Astyanax mexicanus: one gene and its partner. Each later gene encodes a partner of the first gene's protein in a complex. Links are inferred from orthologs where the notes say so. Each region holds a gene or a part of one and is shown in the gene's direction. Other genes may lie near its edges. The genes, in order: bcl2l1 and tpt1.

Region 1 (9,305 bases):
GCTCAACAAACTAGTTTTAATAAATTTTTTTGTCAGCTTTCCTTACTTTAATGGTACTCTCATTTGAGCATTTATTGGTCAGTGTTTTCCTAACACTCCTATACACCAAACTCACTAGAGCTGTGAATTGGCAAGAACTTGGAGAGAAGATACCAATCATGATGTAAGGCTTACAATTAAATATCTCAGTCATATCAATACAGCAGTATATAACAATTGAATGAAAACTGTCATTGTATAAAAAACGCATACATTTTTATAAAATCAGAATAAATAAAAAATGTTTACTTTTATGCAGTAATAACATGGCAATCTTACCACAGAGTACTGCTCTCTAAATTAACTACTGCCATTTTTTACATGTAAACTAATAGTTGAAAACCAATACTGTGTTTTGCAAAATCAGTACTATAGCACTTTTTTGTTTTCTTAAGCCCTATCGAATGATATTAAATTAAATTAAATGAAATTAACACTTCTACTCAGTGATAAAACTTTTGTCAACAAATTGAAAGTACAGTTCACAACCACAAAATGTGGGAGTCCAGTATCTCCACCATTTCCACTTCTCTGGTGTGTTTACGTGGATCTCTGTGGAATTGCACGCCCAAAGTGTAAATACAGTGCATAGCAGTGGACAAATAGCTATTTTATTAAATGTGAGGTGATGAAACTCAGAGATGTGCGTCCAGACGGGACTAAAATTACTAAAGAAGCACAGAGTTTCGTGAAAAACAGTAGATAATTCAGCCTGTAATTTTTTTAGAGCACGTCTGACAAAAACACGTACGTGGTCATTCCGGATGGGAAAATAATCACAGAGGACCCCCCCCATAAAAGAGAAAATTACCCCAGGACCCCCTGAGAAACTAATCCTGTCCAGTTAGGGCTTTTTTTTAACACCTTTTTATCTCGCATTACAAAACTGGCTACCTCACAGCAATCATATCTGTCAAGTGTGGAAGTTCCATATTACAGAATGTTACTGACTACAGAGTGGCGCTGAACCTCAGAGGCCTATAAAAGGTTTTGTAGAGCACACAGACACTCTGCATAAACAGAACTTGAATGATGTCAAAGTAAGAGGAAGCCGTAATGGTTTGATGGGATAATAATAGCTAAGGGAGTCAGACAGTGACTTCTACTAATCATGTGTCATTACAGCCCTCATGAACACATCCTCTTTTTCTCTCTTGTTCTCTGTTTCTCTCAGTTTAAGCCGCACGCCTCCTGTTACTACCCCCATCTGTGTGAGATGATGCAGTTTGACCTCATCCCTGAGCTGCGAGCTGTCCTGCGCCGCTTCTTTCTCCGCATAGGTTCAGTCTTCCACATTGCCGCGCCCGAGATGGCGGCCGCACGAGCGCCGGCCTCGTAGAGCACAGTAGGTCCTGTGTCTTTACAGAAAATGGAATGGAGGGGTCGGGAGAGCTGCAGCGTGCGAGGACCTTCAGCGGTGCGAGGAAGCGTGCAGGAGGGCTTGGAGCTGATGCTGACACTGCTCACCCAAAGTCATACTCTGTGTCTGGATCTCCTGACCTTTTCCCCTCAGCCCTTAAATCCCCCCCTACCACCCACTCGGGAGAGAGAGCAGCACTGTGTGACCCAGCAGGGCTCTCCTCTCTTCGACATTGTGGCTCAAGTGCAATCATATTAAAGTCATACATTCTAAAAGGGAGGGGGGCAATACAGCAACAACAACAATGATGATGATGATGATGATGATAATTTATTAACAATACTGTTGTGTATCCTGTTCCTGATTGTTGGTCAGTTGATTTGTGTTTTGTTTTGTTTGTATTGTTTTTTTTTTGTCTTATGTTGGAATTATTTTTGTCCTTATTTTAATAAGCAAACAGACAGTGATTTCCAAATGCACGGAGCTACAAGATTTGAAATATCATATCAATCAATTACAAGCGTGTAATTTATAGCAGGTTTGCTTATCTGTGCCTATGCAGATAAAAGAGTGAGACTTATCATTAAAGCCTCAAACAGGAGTCTTGGCAAGTGGTGGAACGGTTTTTGGTCCTGCTTTAACAGCCCTGTGACATTTATGAAGAAAACTAATTCAAAGCAAGAGTTCTTGGGGTGCCTGAGCTATTTAGGTAGTTTCTTATTGGAGCTTTAATGACTGGGTAAATATATACATTATTTATTACAAGCATATGCTCAGCAACCTCGCATTTACACACCAGAATACTGAACAACAAGTAGCCTTGGGTTGTGAGTATCAGATGTTTAAATTAATAACGGGAAGAGTCTGGAATAAGGTGATAGCCTTTCATATTCTCTTGGATTTGTTCATGTCTATGAACCAGAAGCTGTCTGTAGTTCAACACTCTTACAGTGAAACGTAGCTGCCCCTGTGTTGGCCTGGGAACAGGGGTGATGTAACATGGCTGCACTCCAAAACACTTCTGTTGGTTTCATTTAACATTCCCTCAAGGACCCCTCCTCCCTCACTCAGCAGTACACACTAATTTTTCCTGCGTGAAGCGTACACAATTTTCTCGGCCTCTGGATTGACAGTTACAGAAAGGCTGGGGTCTTTAAGCATTCCTGATTTTTTTTTTCTCTCCACATCATAAAAGTCTGTCACCTAAGCTGCTCCCCCCTCATTTGATGACTGTGTGAATGAGTGAGTCTCATTTGTTAGCTTGTGTCATAATCTTCCAGCCAGTGTTGCCCTACCAACACCAAGCTAAAGGAAAAAGAAAAAATACAAAAATAACTACATATACTGTACAGTGCAGACGTGTATGTTTGTACTCAAATCTCTTAACAGTATCAAGCCTCTGTATTACTAGAGCACATAAAGCTCCGGGTGCATTTTTATGCGGATGTATTTAATTCTATGAAGTGCTTTTAAAATATTTTCTGGAAGCATTCCTCCCCTCGCAACTCTGTATGTCCACCTTGCCTCCCTCCGCTGTGAGGAAAATATAAATATATATATACAGTATGATGAAATACAAAGTGTAAAGTTTTCATGTAAAATAAAGGATAAAAGAAGCTCTACACATATTGGGATGTAATCTTCCAAGCTTTTGGTGAATTATTCAATAAATAATAAAAAAGGGTCTGCACAGATTGTACATTTCACTGTTCACTGCTATTAATAAACCAACAAGTCTTTATTTAGCTGTAAATCAATTGTAATAGTAAAAACTCAAAGTACACTTTTCTGTAATGTAGCTTTTACTAGTAGAAACTCATTTCAGAATTTAGCTTTGAAATGTTTTGCTAGTAATAATATCAGATCTGCAGATCTATAAAGACAATCTGACTAGACATATCATGATGACATCTTGAGTTTGTTCTTGACTAGTCATATTGTACCTTAAGCCTCTTATCAATATTCTTAATTAAATTTTACAATTAAAACTCCAAGTACAAATATCTATAATAAACTTTTTAACACAGACTATTTACTAGTCAAAATCAGAATTGTAGATCTGAAATCATATACAGATTTTAATCTTCACTTAAAGCTCTGAAAAAAGGAAGAGACCATTAAAAATGAATTTCTTTGATTTTACCAAAATCAGGAGGAAGATGCATGATCACAAGCCAGCAAACCAAGCTGAACTGCTGGAATTTTTGCACCAGGAGTGGCATAAAGTTACCCAAAGCAGTGTGTAAGACTGGTGGAGGAGAACATGCCAAGATCCATTAAAAGTGTGACTAAAAACCAGGGTTATTCCACCAAATATTGATTTCTGAACTCTTAAAACTTTATTTAAAGTCTAAAAGCGCTGCATTTTTTTTTGTTATTTCAGCCTTTTTGCATTTACTGCAAATAAATGCTCTAAATGACAATATTTATATTTGGAATTTGGGAGAAATGTTGTCTGTCGTTTATAGAATAAAAAAAACATTTTACTCAAATATATATCTATAAATAGCAAAATCAGAGAAACTGATTCAGAAACTAAAGTGGTCTCTCATTTTTTTCTAGAGCTGTATATACAGTAGTTGTATCTGCTATCTGTGGATGGAGTTGTGTTAATGTCAGGACAGGCCGCTTGGGGGCGCGCTGGTTTAGCACGGATGTGAACACAGTACAAGTTTACATCGTTTTGGGGTTACCATAGGTTACCATGTTAAAACATACATGTATTCAGTGTTTTTAATGTGCGTGAACTGATTTATTCAGACACAGACACAAAAAATACATCCGGAAAACACAACAACTGACCAGAATCTGCATAATAAAATGCCTGTCATGTTTAGGACGTCAGAGGACAGCCACACTCCACTTTAACAAGCAGAAACAAGTGCGTTAGCGGAGTAAACCAAAACACAAATTACAGCAATCTTCTGTGAACACTAACGATAGTTTACAGAATCTGCAGTATCGTGAAAAATTCACAGGGGGGGGGGCGGAGCTTCGGCGCATGCGTGAAGGGGAGCTAGCTAGCAGTCCAGAGTTGCCAGGTGTGAAGTTTTCACGCGATCGAATACTAGTCGCGGGGGAAAAATTAGGGGTGGCGGGGTGCGTTTTTTTGGGCTACTTTTAAAAATTACCGCGGCCGCCAAACACATAAATTAGAATGATTACAGCATTAAAAACAAAGAGAATATAACGACATAAAAGACAGCATAAAAAGGAGAAAGAGAGCGAGAGAGAAATCACAATGAAACCAGAAATCACAAGATATTATGTTAAAGAGAAGAGAAGAAAGTTCAGGAGGGGCAAGAACAGAAATGAGTTAATAAAAGACAGTTTTTTTACTTATTATGTTACTATTAAATGTTCTTGACTGGAATATAAAACTGTTCTATTAAACACTAAAATAAAACTCTTTTGTTACAATAGTATTAATGACTAAGAAAAATAGCAATACTGATAATAAAACCCTTATAAACAAAATACTACGTCGTACACTCATAATTGTTTTGTCATTCGCTTTAAACGTGTGACAGACATGTTCGTTAGTTTAGCTAGTTTAAGCTTCTGAAGGGCAGGTTTTTGGGCTGGATATTTTTGTTGGATCTGGCAACCCATGCGCTGTCTGCCTTCTCTCTGAAGCGGGCGAGCAAGGAGAGCTAGTGGGGACTAGCGCCGCTTCCAGAGGCTTCAGCCGTGGTGGTTTGCTGTGCTAAGGCTAGAAATGTCGGATTTACAGTCGCTCTCTGACCGGAGACCTGCTGGATATTTCGATCATGTGTGGGCCGGAGAGCTCACCCTTTTAATTATCTGAGTAAGTCGCAGCAGGAGCTGCAGTGGCGCAATTATTCACTGCAGTAGCTGGCGTTATATTTTCTCTGCTAGTCAGAATTACGTCGTTCTTGTAACGCTATCTACTAAAAAAGCCCAACCCGTTCCCATTAAAGCTCCTGGTGTTAGCTAGCGTTAGCCACATAGCTAGCTAGTTGTGTTAGCCTGTGATTGACGTAGTTGGTTAGCCAGCTTAGGTTCAAAACGTCCTTGATTCTTGTAACTACTTCAGCTGGTTTATTGCTGTTAGCTTCATTATTTTGTGAATGTGGTTGAGCTACATTGAAATGCAACAGGGTAGCAAGCTAGGGGATTTATTTTTATGTTTTTATCTGAACCTTAAATTGGTTAGCGTTGGGTTAGTTAGCTAACGCTAGCTAAGTGTACAATTCAATTGTAATAGCTAACCTAGGTTAGCTGGCTAGCTCTATGTAAGGAGGCTTAATAGCCACCACTGGTGTTTTAACGTTAAGTCTGTTCATTTTGGGGTAGTAAGGTCAGTTATATACCTAGCTAGCTAGCTTGCTCAGAGTTTAACATGGAGTTGGTTCATCTATAGTTCACCTAGCTAGGTTAGCTTAGCTGCTTCATTCTGGATTTTATGACAGCTGCCTTCAAATACTTTTTCTTTGAGCTTATGTGGTAGCCAAAGGATATATATAGCCTTAACGTTAACTAGCTAACATAGCTATCAAGTATTTTTGTTCTGTAAAGAATATAACGTAGCTAACTCTAGTTTATTTAACCAACTAGGTAAGCTTGGCTACTGTATTTTTAAGGTGGTCAATTGATTTCGTTCACCTATACACACTGACGTTATTGTGAGGTGGATTTATTTAGCTCATCTATGCTATAATGGTATTTAGCATACACGAAAACGCTTACACGAAAATTGATATTCATAAATGTACGTTATTAAAATGAATAATAATAATGGTAATAATAAAATAAACCATTATTAATCATTCTAAGACTTTTTCATTATATGTTCTACCTCAATTTAAAGAGTAGATGATGTAGGTATATTCTTAAGATTTCCGTTGTTTCCTTTATGAATACAAAATATATATTATAGTTAAATAAAAATCACAGTAATTTCGAGAGGTTTGTAGAAGTGCTAGAAAGCTCCTCCTGTTACGTAATTATCGTGTGGGCGGGGCCTAAGGCTCTTCTATGCAATCCAGTAGAAGCGCGGGGGCGGGGCTTGGTCTATTCACGTTTTCACGTTTGTGCTGTAAGTTATATTTATTTACCAGCTGAAGCACGAGGATATTTTATATTACAGAGTTCGGGTACTGTACAGGGACCACGGGAGCTGTTAGGTGTGTAGATCTATCTGAGGACTGGGCAGATAGATGTCTGTATGGTAAGCAGGATGTTCTTTAAACGTTCGAGCTGTTATATAGCTTACCTGTTATGTAGCTGGTTCTGAATGAGCGGATGTTCAATGTCCAAAGTTGACATGTTCTGATTGGGCAGTGTTTTAGGGTAATTTATAACTAGTCTTAGACCTTAGACACGAGTTTTAAACGACAGGCGTTCCCCGTGACTGCCTCGGATCTATAAGCTAAGCTAGGTGGGGACATAGTTCTTTAGATTTCTTTAAGATAGTCCAGATGCTTTGGGTGTCACACGAAACTGCTCCGGTGGCAGGACTAGCCTTGCGGGCACGCATTCCTACTGAGTTTCGTGTACATAAAAATTTCAAAAGCGACACAGATGTTGTGTCAGCTTTGTGACATTAGCTATTAGCTAACTGTATACAACTTGCTTAACTACAGATTCTCAACATTAGAAAAGTGAGTCTGTAGCAAATACGTTATTATAAGCTATTGTTATCTACGCCTCATGTAGGTTAGTTAATTACAAATATATCTATTAACAGACCTTCTTGTTGTTGTTCTTATTGTGACCACGTTTACGGTAATACTGGATTAGCTGTGTCTTCCAGTAGTTGTTTATGTGCTGATCTGTTCTGTCTCTGTGAAGATGACTAAATTCAGCGCCTCGTGCTTTTATCTCTCTGCTCTGTTGGTGTGGCGACCACGTGTTTTTGCCTCCCGTGCCCCAACTGAACGCAGATTGTTTTACGCAAAATCCGTATCTTTGTTTGGTAGGATTCTGTAACGTTATATCCGTGAATCGCGGCTGAGGGTATGTAGAATGTTTATCACTAAATCTTACTGCTACATATTTCATCAGAACACATATTTTACTAGTGTCGTCTTCTGTGATGATTTACACCCTCAGAGTGTCGCCATCGTTTTCAACTGAGACACAGTGAACAAACAGAATGGAGAGCTTGGCTGTGTACTGTTTATTTGTATATTTAAGTAAAAAGCTTTAAATATTAAACATAAAAGAAAACGATGCTCCTTGACTTGACTATGTTATTTAAAAGACAACAGTCGTTACAAGAGTTGTCTTTTTATGATCTCAGAGAAAGGCACCATTAAACTTTAATATTTTGTTGTTTTTTAAATTGTCATGTATAAAGAACCAGTTTATAAAGCTGTACATAAGGCCTGTCACAATAATAAAAAAAACATATTATTAGGATGATATTGTCCCAATTAAATTGTGCTAACTTTTTATCTTTTTAATTACTATTTTCATTAATATCACTAATATAATGATAATACAAAAGCATAATAATTTATTTATACTTTTAGAATAGGGATGTACTGATGTGGAAATTTTGAAATGATGCTGATATCCGATATTACACATGTACATATCTGCCATTGTTGATGTACACATTCATAACTTTCAGAGAAACTACACACCCTGCTGTAACTTTAACACTAATAAAAATGACTAAAAATGGGGGTTCCGTGTTGTCCAGCAGGCTAAGTGCTGCCACTATGAACAGGAGATTGCAGAAAAAAAAATAGAAAAAAAAACTAAAAATGAGCTTAACTCAATGGATTTTACAGTAGCAAAGCCTGTGCCGCCTGATCCTTTTCCAGCATACAATAAATACATCAGCAAATATTTGTTTGAAATATTTGCCATATCAGATGATGCAATTATATATTATTATCAAAGAAATTATTAGCCAATACCTATATAATTCCAATGTCATTGTGCATTCCTTTTTTAAATAGCAGTGAAATTTTAGTTATTAAAATGCTCAGATGTAGAATTAAAATTTTAAACATGTTAATATTTTAAATAAGTAAAACAGATACATATAATAAAATGCTTTTAATACTCACTATACAATATTTATGTCAGCAAAATCGACAAAGTACTGCATGATAAGTTGATAATATAATTATTGTGACAAGCTGAACGTAAAAAAATCCATATTTTAAGCATGCAAATCAGAACCATTAAACAGACCAATAGAAATTCTCCAAAATTAATCATTAAAATGAAATCTTTTAAATTGACTTCCAATAAAAGTGAAACAGAAGAGTCTTTCCTTCTCCAGCATAGTTGACATTCTAGAGATTCAAGGTTTTTGCCGAACTTTGCTTTGAAGTATTACGTAAATGTACTCAAATATGCCTAGTAATAGGCAAAAAAAAGGTTTAGAGGATGATTTGTCCTATGTTCTATTGTTTGAGTTTCGTCCGCTGAAGCTCTCATCTCCTCTATGCAGCTTGGATCAAACAAGAAAATCATAATTCAAACCACGCTGTCTATTCATACCCCCTGCTGCTCAAATTCACCTGTGTCAAGGTCAGTGTAGATTTGCTTTGCTCTCCTGAAGCTTTAGGAAAGGGGAAAGGGGAGCTATTCTCTCTATTCTTCCTCAGAGGCAGGTGAGGAGAGGCTACCATCTGCTGCTTTGTGCGAGATACCCAATTAAGTAAGAGGGGTTTAGCAGTGTTAGCTTGTGTTACTGGAAACTGTGTGCGTGTGTGTTTGTGAGCCCTCACTAATCGTTTCTTCATCTTGCTCTTCTCTAACCACAGCTCGTGAGCCGTTGCGCCATTCCTTGATTGTGTTTGCTTATGCTGGATAACAAGCAGAAGAAATCAATGAAGATCAGAGATCAGCCTGATTTAAGATCCGTGATGAAAGCGTCAGCATCGGAACACGCCTGAGAAGGGACAAGGAGGGTCCGCGCGCC
Region 2 (9,476 bases), on another chromosome or scaffold:
AATGAATGTCTTTAAGAGTACTGGGCCTTACTGGTGCAGAGAAAATTGCCAGTGTTAAAACAAACGCTATTAGTGTTAAATTAGCATCCACAGTGTTAATTTAACACAGTTTATGGGGCAGTTTTACCCACACAGGGATTAATCCTAGTCTTGGACTACACAACATGTTTGATAGAGATTTTCCACTGAAAGCAAACATAGTCTAATACTAGTCTTAATCCTTGCCACGGAAACTGACCCTGATGATTTACTATAAGAGAAAGCTGAGGTTACGGGCACATGTCTGAGTAATCAGCACCTCCCCACCCTACTGTGCTTTCTTAGGGGTTTTAGTAAAAGTGCCCTCAGAACAAAACGCCTCGTCATCAGAAAGCACCAGCACCCTGCAGTGCCCCGCTACCTTTCCAGCTTCTGTAGAATAATCTGGAATACATTTATACCCTCCTTTTTTTGATGTCTAGACTACACAATGCTACACACTGAAGCCCACCAGCAGAACAGCTCACTATGAAGCTCTACCACTTTAACTCAACACTTATTCACTGTCTAATAAACACAACAACAATAAAAATACGAAAACTACCATCTACAATAATTTTATATAATATTAAAATTACAATATGAAATCAAAAACTTTAAAATCAAAAACTAAAACACTTAAAAAGCAATGGCCAACAATAAGCACCAGTACATTTAAATTAATTAAAATATTTATAATTATAGAAATAATAGGAATAATAATATAAAAATGAAGGGACAAAATAATTTAGAATATATATATAAATATTAACAATAATGATAGCAGTAATAAAAATAACAGAAATAACAGAAATAATACAAAAAATGAGTGATGGAAAACTAACTTCTACTTCTAATAATACTAATAAAAAATAATATAAAAAAATACTACTACTAGAACTAATAATAATGATAGGTATAGGCAAAGAAATATAAAAAACATTGGAATCTATGACTAATACAACTAATAATAAATAACAATGATAATAACAATAAAAATCGAATAGGGATAAACTTGGAAAAACAAAATCCTAAGCTTAAAAACTTTAAATTTAAATTTAAAAGGTTAAATACTTTGACTAATAATAACAATATAGAAATATTTTAAAAATTGAGGGGGGGGGAAAGTAACTAACAAACCCAACAATTTTAAAACATTGATTACTCCTTTTACTACTACTTTTAATAATAATAATAATAAGAAGAAGAAGAAGAAGAAGAAGAAGAAGGAGAAGAAGAAGAAGGACAGCTATAACTGGTAACAGCTATAACATTTTCTTTTGGTTATTATTTTTTGGGTGAATCACAGTCATTTACTAAAGATAGAAGAGAAATCACTGCTTTTGGCTGGGTGTAAATACAGCAGCTCAGTGTAACGGTAGCTTTTAAAACCACCACTGTTTAACCTCAAGTCTCCAGCACTGCCAGGAACTCAGCTCTGAGTGGTCTGCTGAGGGCACACTGTGAGGGCGCTGTGTGGAAATGCCACAGGGCAGCCACACGCCCTTCACAGAGCTTATATAAAGAGCAGGTCTGGCTTTGTACCAGCCGCTTCCCAGTGGGAAATGAAACAGCTGGCTTTAGTTCTCTGTGTCACAGCCAGGGTAAACCACAGAACCCTCAGGAGAAGCGGGATCACAAGCTAGCAAATCATCCTCTGTTTAAAAAATGTGGGGCATGAATCTGTTTCCCTCCGCTGCTAAAAATTCACTCGCTGGTCTGCTTTGGGGTCTCGGACGAAAGACCCTCTCTGACCGCTGCTGGGCTTACTGGAACAGAATGACTACTGGAAAAAGGCATGGGGCTGCGCAATGAGAACAGTTACCATACTTCAAAGTTAGCTTTATGGCTGGTAATAACCTTTCAACACTGCACTGCACCCCAATTACAAGTGCATACTCTCACTGTCGGAGAAAAACTTTGTAGTTTACAAGAGAAGGAAAAACCTATTTAACGTTCAGCTTTTTAGTCCATGTAGCTTCATCATCAAAGCATAGTTACACCCAGAAGGAAGTGCCACATTGCAGTTATATTGAAAAGATAAAGATAAAAGATCCCAGGAACATTAAATTATTTAAAAAAATGACTGATATGGGTAATATCATATTTATTTAGTCACACATTTAGTAACACAAGACACCGGATATCTCGGCATTATAGAGATGCAGAAGTTTATAATGCTGTCTTGCAATACTCCATCTATTCTATGCATTTCAAATATTCTTACACAGTTCCTGCTAATTTTGCAGTAGAAGTGTTGAGAGTGCATCCAATAGATAGAACATCCCACACATTGTCAATCAGGGATAGGTCTGTCGATGCGGCTAGGCATGGCATAGTATCTTCAAGAGCCTTTGAGGCAGGCTTTTGCCACCCACAGTAAAGTGTATAATTGAGGGAAAAGTAAAGCATATTACTGTATTTCCCATGACTTTTTCATGTCCCAATTTTAAGCTAAGGAACACTACACTGATCTGTATGATATGCATATAAGGTTTGGTGGACTAAAATGGTTGTGATTTTTATTTGTCTGTTCGGATGAACAATTCTAGACAGACTACGCTGCCCACTGTGGGTGGTAATGCCTTTTATGTACATTATACACGCCTACAAAACTATTCTAATGAATTTACAATGCCTTGCCACAACCACGCTGACCAGTGGACAGCCTCATCTCATGATATTTGGCATGTCAATTCTTTTTGTGGTTTCTGTCTAGTTAACATTTACAACATCGTATAAAATGACCTTTTATTGTGACTAAAAGCAGCATCAACCATTTAAAATAATTTTTTAAAAAGCTATATTAGATATGTAAGACAGGGTAAACCAGTTTTATGCAGGATTTAATTTGTGATATTAATACATTATAGTATTAATCAACTACAGACTTTTTGTAGGGCACAATTTGTTGGGTCACTATGCTAAAAAAGTACATTAACATGTAACTTCGAGGCTTAAGAAAGAAAAGCAGAACTAAACAGAGGCTATAAGACTAAATTAACTCTAAAAAGGCAGTTAGCTACAATTATTATTATTATTATTATTATTATTATTATTATTATTATTATTATTATTATTATTATTACTAATCACTGATGCTAAACCTGATCTCAGTTACTGCTGTTTTCCACTTTTGACAATCAATGAAAATATTTGCAATGAATTAACCAACATAAAAATGCTCCAATTTGTCTTATGGAATGAAATACACAATTTTACCTTCCATTGAAAGTTTTAAAAGTTTTGGCTTATCCTGTAAAAAGTTGCTGTTTTGGAGATAGGACATGCATACTCCAGTTAAACGTGTTACAGTTACAATGGTGTAAAAATGGTGTTAGATTTGTATCATAATACTCACCTTTCAAGAAAGTTTTCATAAAAGGACTTCATCTCAGCTGGTGCAAATTTGCAGTGAAGCTGGTCAACACGCACACCCACAGACACACACTCACAGACACATACTCACACACACACTGAAGGCTTAAGCTCTGTGAGAGGAACAAATATCCTCCCACTTGAAGGAAGCAAGTGGGGCCAGTCCATTCGTGACCAGCCTACTAAATACTGATCTCACACTGCTGCTCCTCTACCACCAACATACTGAGGAGAAAGAGCATGGGGACACCTACTGGTGGTTCATCTGACTGTCTGAAGACTACCGTACTGGGATTTTTATACTTTTTCTGTGAATCACAGTGGTTTACTGTAGATAGAAGATAAATCACTGCTTTTGGCTGGGTATAAATACAGCAGCTCAGTGTCTTAAGGACAGTAGCAAAAGCAGCAAAAGATGTGTGTTTATCGAAAATGTGTTTTGATGTTTTTCACAAAAAATGAGCCAATGCCAATGAGTTTGAGTTAGAAAAAAAATGTTTTGTATCATTTGATGAAAAATGAAAACGGGTCCCACAGACCCGAACACCACACAAAGGTTAAACATCACTAAGTGCAATGCAAAGCATCAGTCCCTGGATTCTAGAGCAGTGGCCCTTTCCTGTTTTAACATGATTGTACACCAGGTCACTAATGTTCACATTACCAGGTCGAAGTGACTCAAATATTTTTTTTCAATCAGATTTGAGTCACTTTCATATGTGGTCCTAAATCAGATATGTATCCGATCCATGGACGTGCAACATGAATGTGAACAGTCAAATCAGAATTTCTGCATGCGCTACATGCTTCTCTCTCGTACCCACACACCTCTTGGTGCAGCTGTGCAGCTATAGCTGCAAAAACAGCAAAAGCAAACCGCCTGGTCTTTTTGCACCTCCTCGACCTGAGCATGAACTTCAGACCAGCTGTTTACTCTCCACTTCAGCAAAAGATGCTCTACATATGAGCTGCTAACTCATCCATTTCACCTTTATAAAGTTACGAGTCTCACAAGTATGATGTTTTTTGTTTTGTTGGTGAAGCAGGAGACGTTTATACATGTATCAGTGTGCACATGTGAGGCGTTTCAGGGACAGATTCGTTCACATTACACACAGATACAGTCCACTTACATTTGTGAATATAAACCCTCACGATAGCCAAATCCGATCTGAACAAAAAAACGGATGTGAGCAATGTGGCTTGTAATGTGAACGGAGCCTAAGAAAGGATCACAGAGAGATGGGTGAGCAAGTTTGGTGTGGAAGAACTTCACTGGCCTCAACCAGTTTCGGATGAATTAGTTTGAAGACTGCGAGCCAAACCTTCTCCTCCAACATAGTTTATGTGGGCCTAATTAATAAGCACATTGGCAAGCAATGTGAAGTGAAGACGTTCAAGGGAGCAGTCAGCATTTCATTGACCAATGTTATTACCATACAAATTAATTGATTCATATGTATATATATTAAATATAAATATAAATGTAACCTAGCCTGTCTGGTACTTTGACATGTTAGACATTTCTAACAACTTTTATCTTACAAAAAATGCTTAATTGCTAATAATACTTGTTTTGATTCCTAGACATTTGATCTCAGGACAGTATCCAAAAAGTACCTCCGATAGAAAGGTTCAATTTTAACCTTAAAATTCAACCTTAAAAATAACTTTTGTGGTAAATTCCTCTCTAAATTTTAAAAGTGGCTTCTTTAGAAAGTCTAACTGAGCATGTGCACAGTGAGTGTAAATACTCTAGCTTGTTTCTAAACGGAGAAAATCAAGGTGTCACATCTGTCCCTGGTCTATCCTACCACACAGTGTAGAAATGTTGCTTTAATTCACAGTATTACAGTATTTATTTATTAATCAGAGGAGAGTTTGTACTCGAGTGCACAGACTGTACTGTGCTGTACTGAGAGGGCGAGGGCGCTGATTGGCCGCGGGCCGCTTGAGGTCGCTCGTGCGCTTTACAAAAAGGAGCTGAGCGCGCATTGACGTCATCTGTTCTGGCAGTGTCTAGAGCTGATCTCGGTCTCTCGGCCTTTCCAGCTGAGTCCGCCGCCAGCGCAGCGCCTGCTCCGAGCCCTCCAACACAATCCATCAAAATGATCATCTACAAGGACATCATCACCGGTGAGAAAGCGCTTATACAGAGTGTAAAGGCTTTAAACTCGTGGATTTGGAGGGTATTTTTGGGTGTCCGGCTCGTTTTTGTGGCTTTTTTGTAGGTTTTTGTGGCGCTGGCGAAAAGAGGCCTAAGTTTTTAGCGCCAGGTTAGCGCAGTGCGGCTAACAGAAGTTAGCTGGAGTTGTGTTTTATTGTATATAGTGTCGTTTTAGTGGGGATTTAATGTGGGGTTTATGTGTTTAAGGCTTTAAAACGGGTTTAGTGGTTGGTATTTTGGTGTTAGGAGTGAGAAATGGGTGAAAAATTGGTTATTTGAGTAAAACGCCGGTTTGTTAACGTTAGCTAGTTAGCCTAGCTAAATTTCAGCTAGCTACCACACCGGCAGATTTTCACCATGTAAAAGTTAAGCAGGCTAACTAGCTAGCTAGTTTAACTTGTGTGGCGCCAATTAGCGAGATGCCACGTACACATTTGTTTTTAAATACCTTTTAACAGTCTGAATCTCTTATTTTCTGCTTTTTCAGTCCATTTAAACTGTGTAATAAATCAGCATATGCTAGCTAGCTATTTAACTAACTCATGAGCTCAGGCCGGCCTGTGCCTGTTGTTAAGGCGGTCTGCTGCTGCTTTTGTCCAGGCCTGAGATCTTTAAAAAGTCAGCTGACCCGAAATGCAGCACCGCCTCAGCCACTGCGCTTCGGGATTCACCAGAGTAATACATATTTAAAGAGAATGTCCTCGAAATCAACTCGTTTTTAATCCCATCTTTACTAAATGTATGTGTACGTTGTTTCACAGGAGACGAGATGTTCTCGGACATCTACAAAATCAAAGAGTCTGAGAATGGAATGATGATCGAAGTCGAGGGAAAGGTAAGACACCTCTATTAGCCTGTGTATTTGATTTATATAAAATTTAAAGAGGAAAATAAAGATATTTATGTACTTAATAGGTAGTTAAGGAACTGTTGGCTGCTTGGTTTTTGGGTTTCTTTGTGAGACGTTGCGCAATCCTATGACTAATTTGTGGTATCCGCCCTCCCTCCCCCTCTCTTTCCCTCCTCCACCCACAGTACACCGGTATGAGTCCGTTACACGCTGTCCAAAAGTTTCTAAGCTTCCTGATGCTAGATTTATTTTCGTTCTACAGTCAATACTTAGACACACACTAACATGGATTTCTAGACTGATGTTGAATGGATTCTGTACAACATATTTTCTGATTGGTCAAGCGATCCAATGTAAAGTTTGTATCCAAAACTTTAGTTTCATGTCTTCTATATATATTTAGATATACACTAATACACCCATTTTTGCAATTTTGAATAGATATTTCTTTGTTAAACTTTAAAGCTTAAAATAATTTTTTAAAATAGCATATCCAGTGTTTTTCATCATATAATATATATATATGCCAGCTAGTATCGATTTAAAATGTTGACCACGTCGGCCAATACCAGTATAATTCCAATCAAAACGCATACCGACCTCATAGTTGAGTACCTGTTTTTTTTTTTGCTTCTGTGAGAAACCTTGAACAACCTTATGGCTGATTTCTTTCCCCCCACCCACAGTACACCAGTATGAGCTCATTACTTTTTGTACCTGATCAGATTCTGAAGCTCCTTCTGAAGTAGTTGCTATATATTTAGATATATGCTAATGTAGATTAGTTTTGTTTTAAAGTGTATCGTTTCTCAAGTCTTTAGAAAGTATACAAAGGTGGAGGACATCTACCAGGCGGTTGTAGAGATGTGACCTAGGGAATGCGATGAATGTTCGTCCCAAGAAGTCCATTCCTGAAAGGGGCCTGGCACAAACAAACTAATATGCTGTGTACTTATTTGATTTTTTTTTTTAATCATATTAAATTATAGTTGTAGTGGCTTTTCACTACGTTTTTAAAGCAGGAACTGGAAAGACCGTTGTAAGATTTGAGAGATGGTGATTTATAATAATTTGGGGCAGAACAGTATATTGTGATTTTTGTCTGTTAAATTCAAAGTGAATGCTGGGTATTTCTGTTCGATTTTCTCTGTAAATTGGACTGTTCTCAGTTTCCGAATCTGTGAACTTCAGTGGTTTTCTTTAAATATGTTCAGTATTTTTTTGCAGTTAGGGTAGCACAGGATGTCTGGCAAGAATGTGAGGATGCTAAATTGCACAAGAATGCATATTGAGAAACAGCCTAGGTGTGAGGTTTCATTAAACATCCTAATTGTTCAGACGCTTACTCTAATGCTTTTAGCTACTTTCAAGTTTCTCACATTGCTGACAGATGTGGGAATGTGCACACACAGCTTGTCTGTATAGAAGTATTTCCAATAGGACGGGACTCTGGCACTGTGCCTAATTCCAGGCATGAGCTAGAGGGGTAGAACCCCCACAGCATTGAGCTTTGGCACAGCAAATCTGATCTCTGGAGTGATTGATGGTGCTTTTATACAACACTTTTGGATGAGTCCAGTTTGGGTGGGGTGGTGATTAACATCCTGATCAACAATGCAGTCAGTCAAACACACAATGAAAACTTTAGTGTATATTACATTGCATTTATATGGTCTGTACTATTTAAGTTAGAAGTATAGTAAAAAGTAAACTCTTGTTCAAGCTCTGAAACAAGCTCTGCCCAGTCATTTGTCTTGTGTTGCCAATATGCTGTTTATGGGGTTACTGCAGGAGTGTGATGTTCTAGACATTGTAATTAGTGCATTCAGCTACTTTTAAGTTCCACCTATTGCTGACAAGGATGTAGAAATGTGCATTCTGCTTGTCTAGTCCCTGTAGAGAGGTATTGCCAGTAGAACAGGACTCTGAAGGATGTGAGCTAAAATCCATTGGGACAATGCCTAATGCCAGGTGTGAGCTGGGTGGGGATATATAGTCCCCTGATCCAATTTTAGACTTGCAGTACTAAATTACTGCTTTGTACTACATGTTTCACAGCCAACTTCAGTTTACATTTTCTCATTGGTTGAGAATTGAGCGTGGAGAGTGTAGAGTTGTTGGATCTTAGCCTGCAGCTACACTGATAAGTTAATGAATATCATTCTCAACAAGCCTGAGCATACCTGATTCCACGTGCTGTAATTAGTTGGACTTTTAAGGACTCCTCAGTCAGTTGATCTTGTGACTTGGGGGGCTTCCTGCCGCCTTGCTTGTATTACTTTCAATGCTCTTAACACATCAGCTTATCAACAAGCCTTTTCAGGAGTGCAGGGGTGTGTTAAAGCAGAGAATATTTTGAAAATGTCAAGGACAGGGAGGGATTGAGCAACACTAGTCTGACTGAAGCCCTTTTAGAACGATTTCTGAAAACTTGCTGGTATTTGGCCTCCAGGACCAGGGCTGATAAATGTTGCATTGGACAAGCCCATAGGCATGCCTATTAATGCTGCTTTGCTACAGTAATACCCCCACCACACAACTCTTGTTGTGAAGGCTTTATGCCAGATATATTGCTGGGAAGGAAGATTTGATTTCATAATCTTCACATACCACATTTTGAGTACCTCTGGTCTAGAGGAATGCAAAGACCTGGTATGCGAGACCACGCCCCAAGTCTTCACTTTTTATAATTACAGCAATAATGAGTTATTCTTACTATAGTAACTCCCAATAGTGTTTTGGTTAAAATTAATTACTGAATAATTGTCTAAGAGGTGCAAGGGGACACCGTCTAGGTGCATCGTAGTTCATTAAATCTGTTTGTGCTTCTGTTGTTAAATTTTCAAAGATGTCAGAGTCTACTGTTTTCTAGAAAAGGGTTAGTTTGCAGATCACAAAAGCGGGCAATGCTGACGCAATAGGTCAATAGGGGGTAAGTTGAGGTTTTATTTAATAATGGGTGGTACAGCTCTGGAAAAAGAGACTTAATATATTTTTTCTTAATTTTATCAAATTGAAAACTTCAAATATAATCAGGGGGAAGATGAATGATGACACACCGTC

The links.
Region 2: the proteins of bcl2l1 (region 1) and tpt1 are in contact, whole or in part, in a crystal structure (PDB 4Z9V), measured with the Homo sapiens proteins. The link is inferred for Astyanax mexicanus from reciprocal best matches to the Homo sapiens genes BCL2L1 and TPT1. Residues at the interface, in NP_001304848.1 of Homo sapiens: Ala93, Glu96, Phe97, Arg100, Tyr101, Ala104, Phe105, Leu108, Gln111, Ser122, Gln125, Val126, Glu129, Leu130, Asp133, Asn136, Gly138, Arg139, Val141, Ala142, Phe146, Leu194, Tyr195, Ala199, Ala200, Ser203; in NP_003286.1 of Homo sapiens: Phe14, Asp16, Ile17, Lys19, Ile20, Arg21, Ile23, Ala24, Asp25, Gly26, Leu27, Cys28, Leu29.

What each region holds. Positions count from the first base shown.
Region 1 is NC_064420.1:34,067,534-34,076,838, reverse strand, and holds the start of bcl2l1 (bcl-2-like protein 1), read left to right. Parts: upstream 1-5,022; 5' UTR 5,023-5,207; intron 5,208-6,438; exon of another isoform or gene 6,439-6,590; intron 6,591-7,201; exon of another isoform or gene 7,202-7,378; intron 7,379-9,147; 5' UTR 9,148-9,305. Other genes in the region: arfgef2 (brefeldin A-inhibited guanine nucleotide-exchange protein 2), read left to right, coding at 1,214-1,378. UniProt on the Homo sapiens protein: Potent inhibitor of cell death. Inhibits activation of caspases. Appears to regulate cell death by blocking the voltage-dependent anion channel (VDAC) by binding to it and preventing the release of the caspase activator, CYC1, from the mitochondrial membrane.
Region 2 is NC_064428.1:30,642,094-30,651,569, reverse strand, and holds the start of tpt1 (translationally-controlled tumor protein homolog), read left to right. Parts: upstream 1-5,390; 5' UTR 5,391-5,504; coding exon 5,505-5,532; intron 5,533-6,324; coding exon 6,325-6,398; intron 6,399-9,476. UniProt on the Homo sapiens protein: Involved in calcium binding and microtubule stabilization. Acts as a negative regulator of TSC22D1-mediated apoptosis, via interaction with and destabilization of TSC22D1 protein.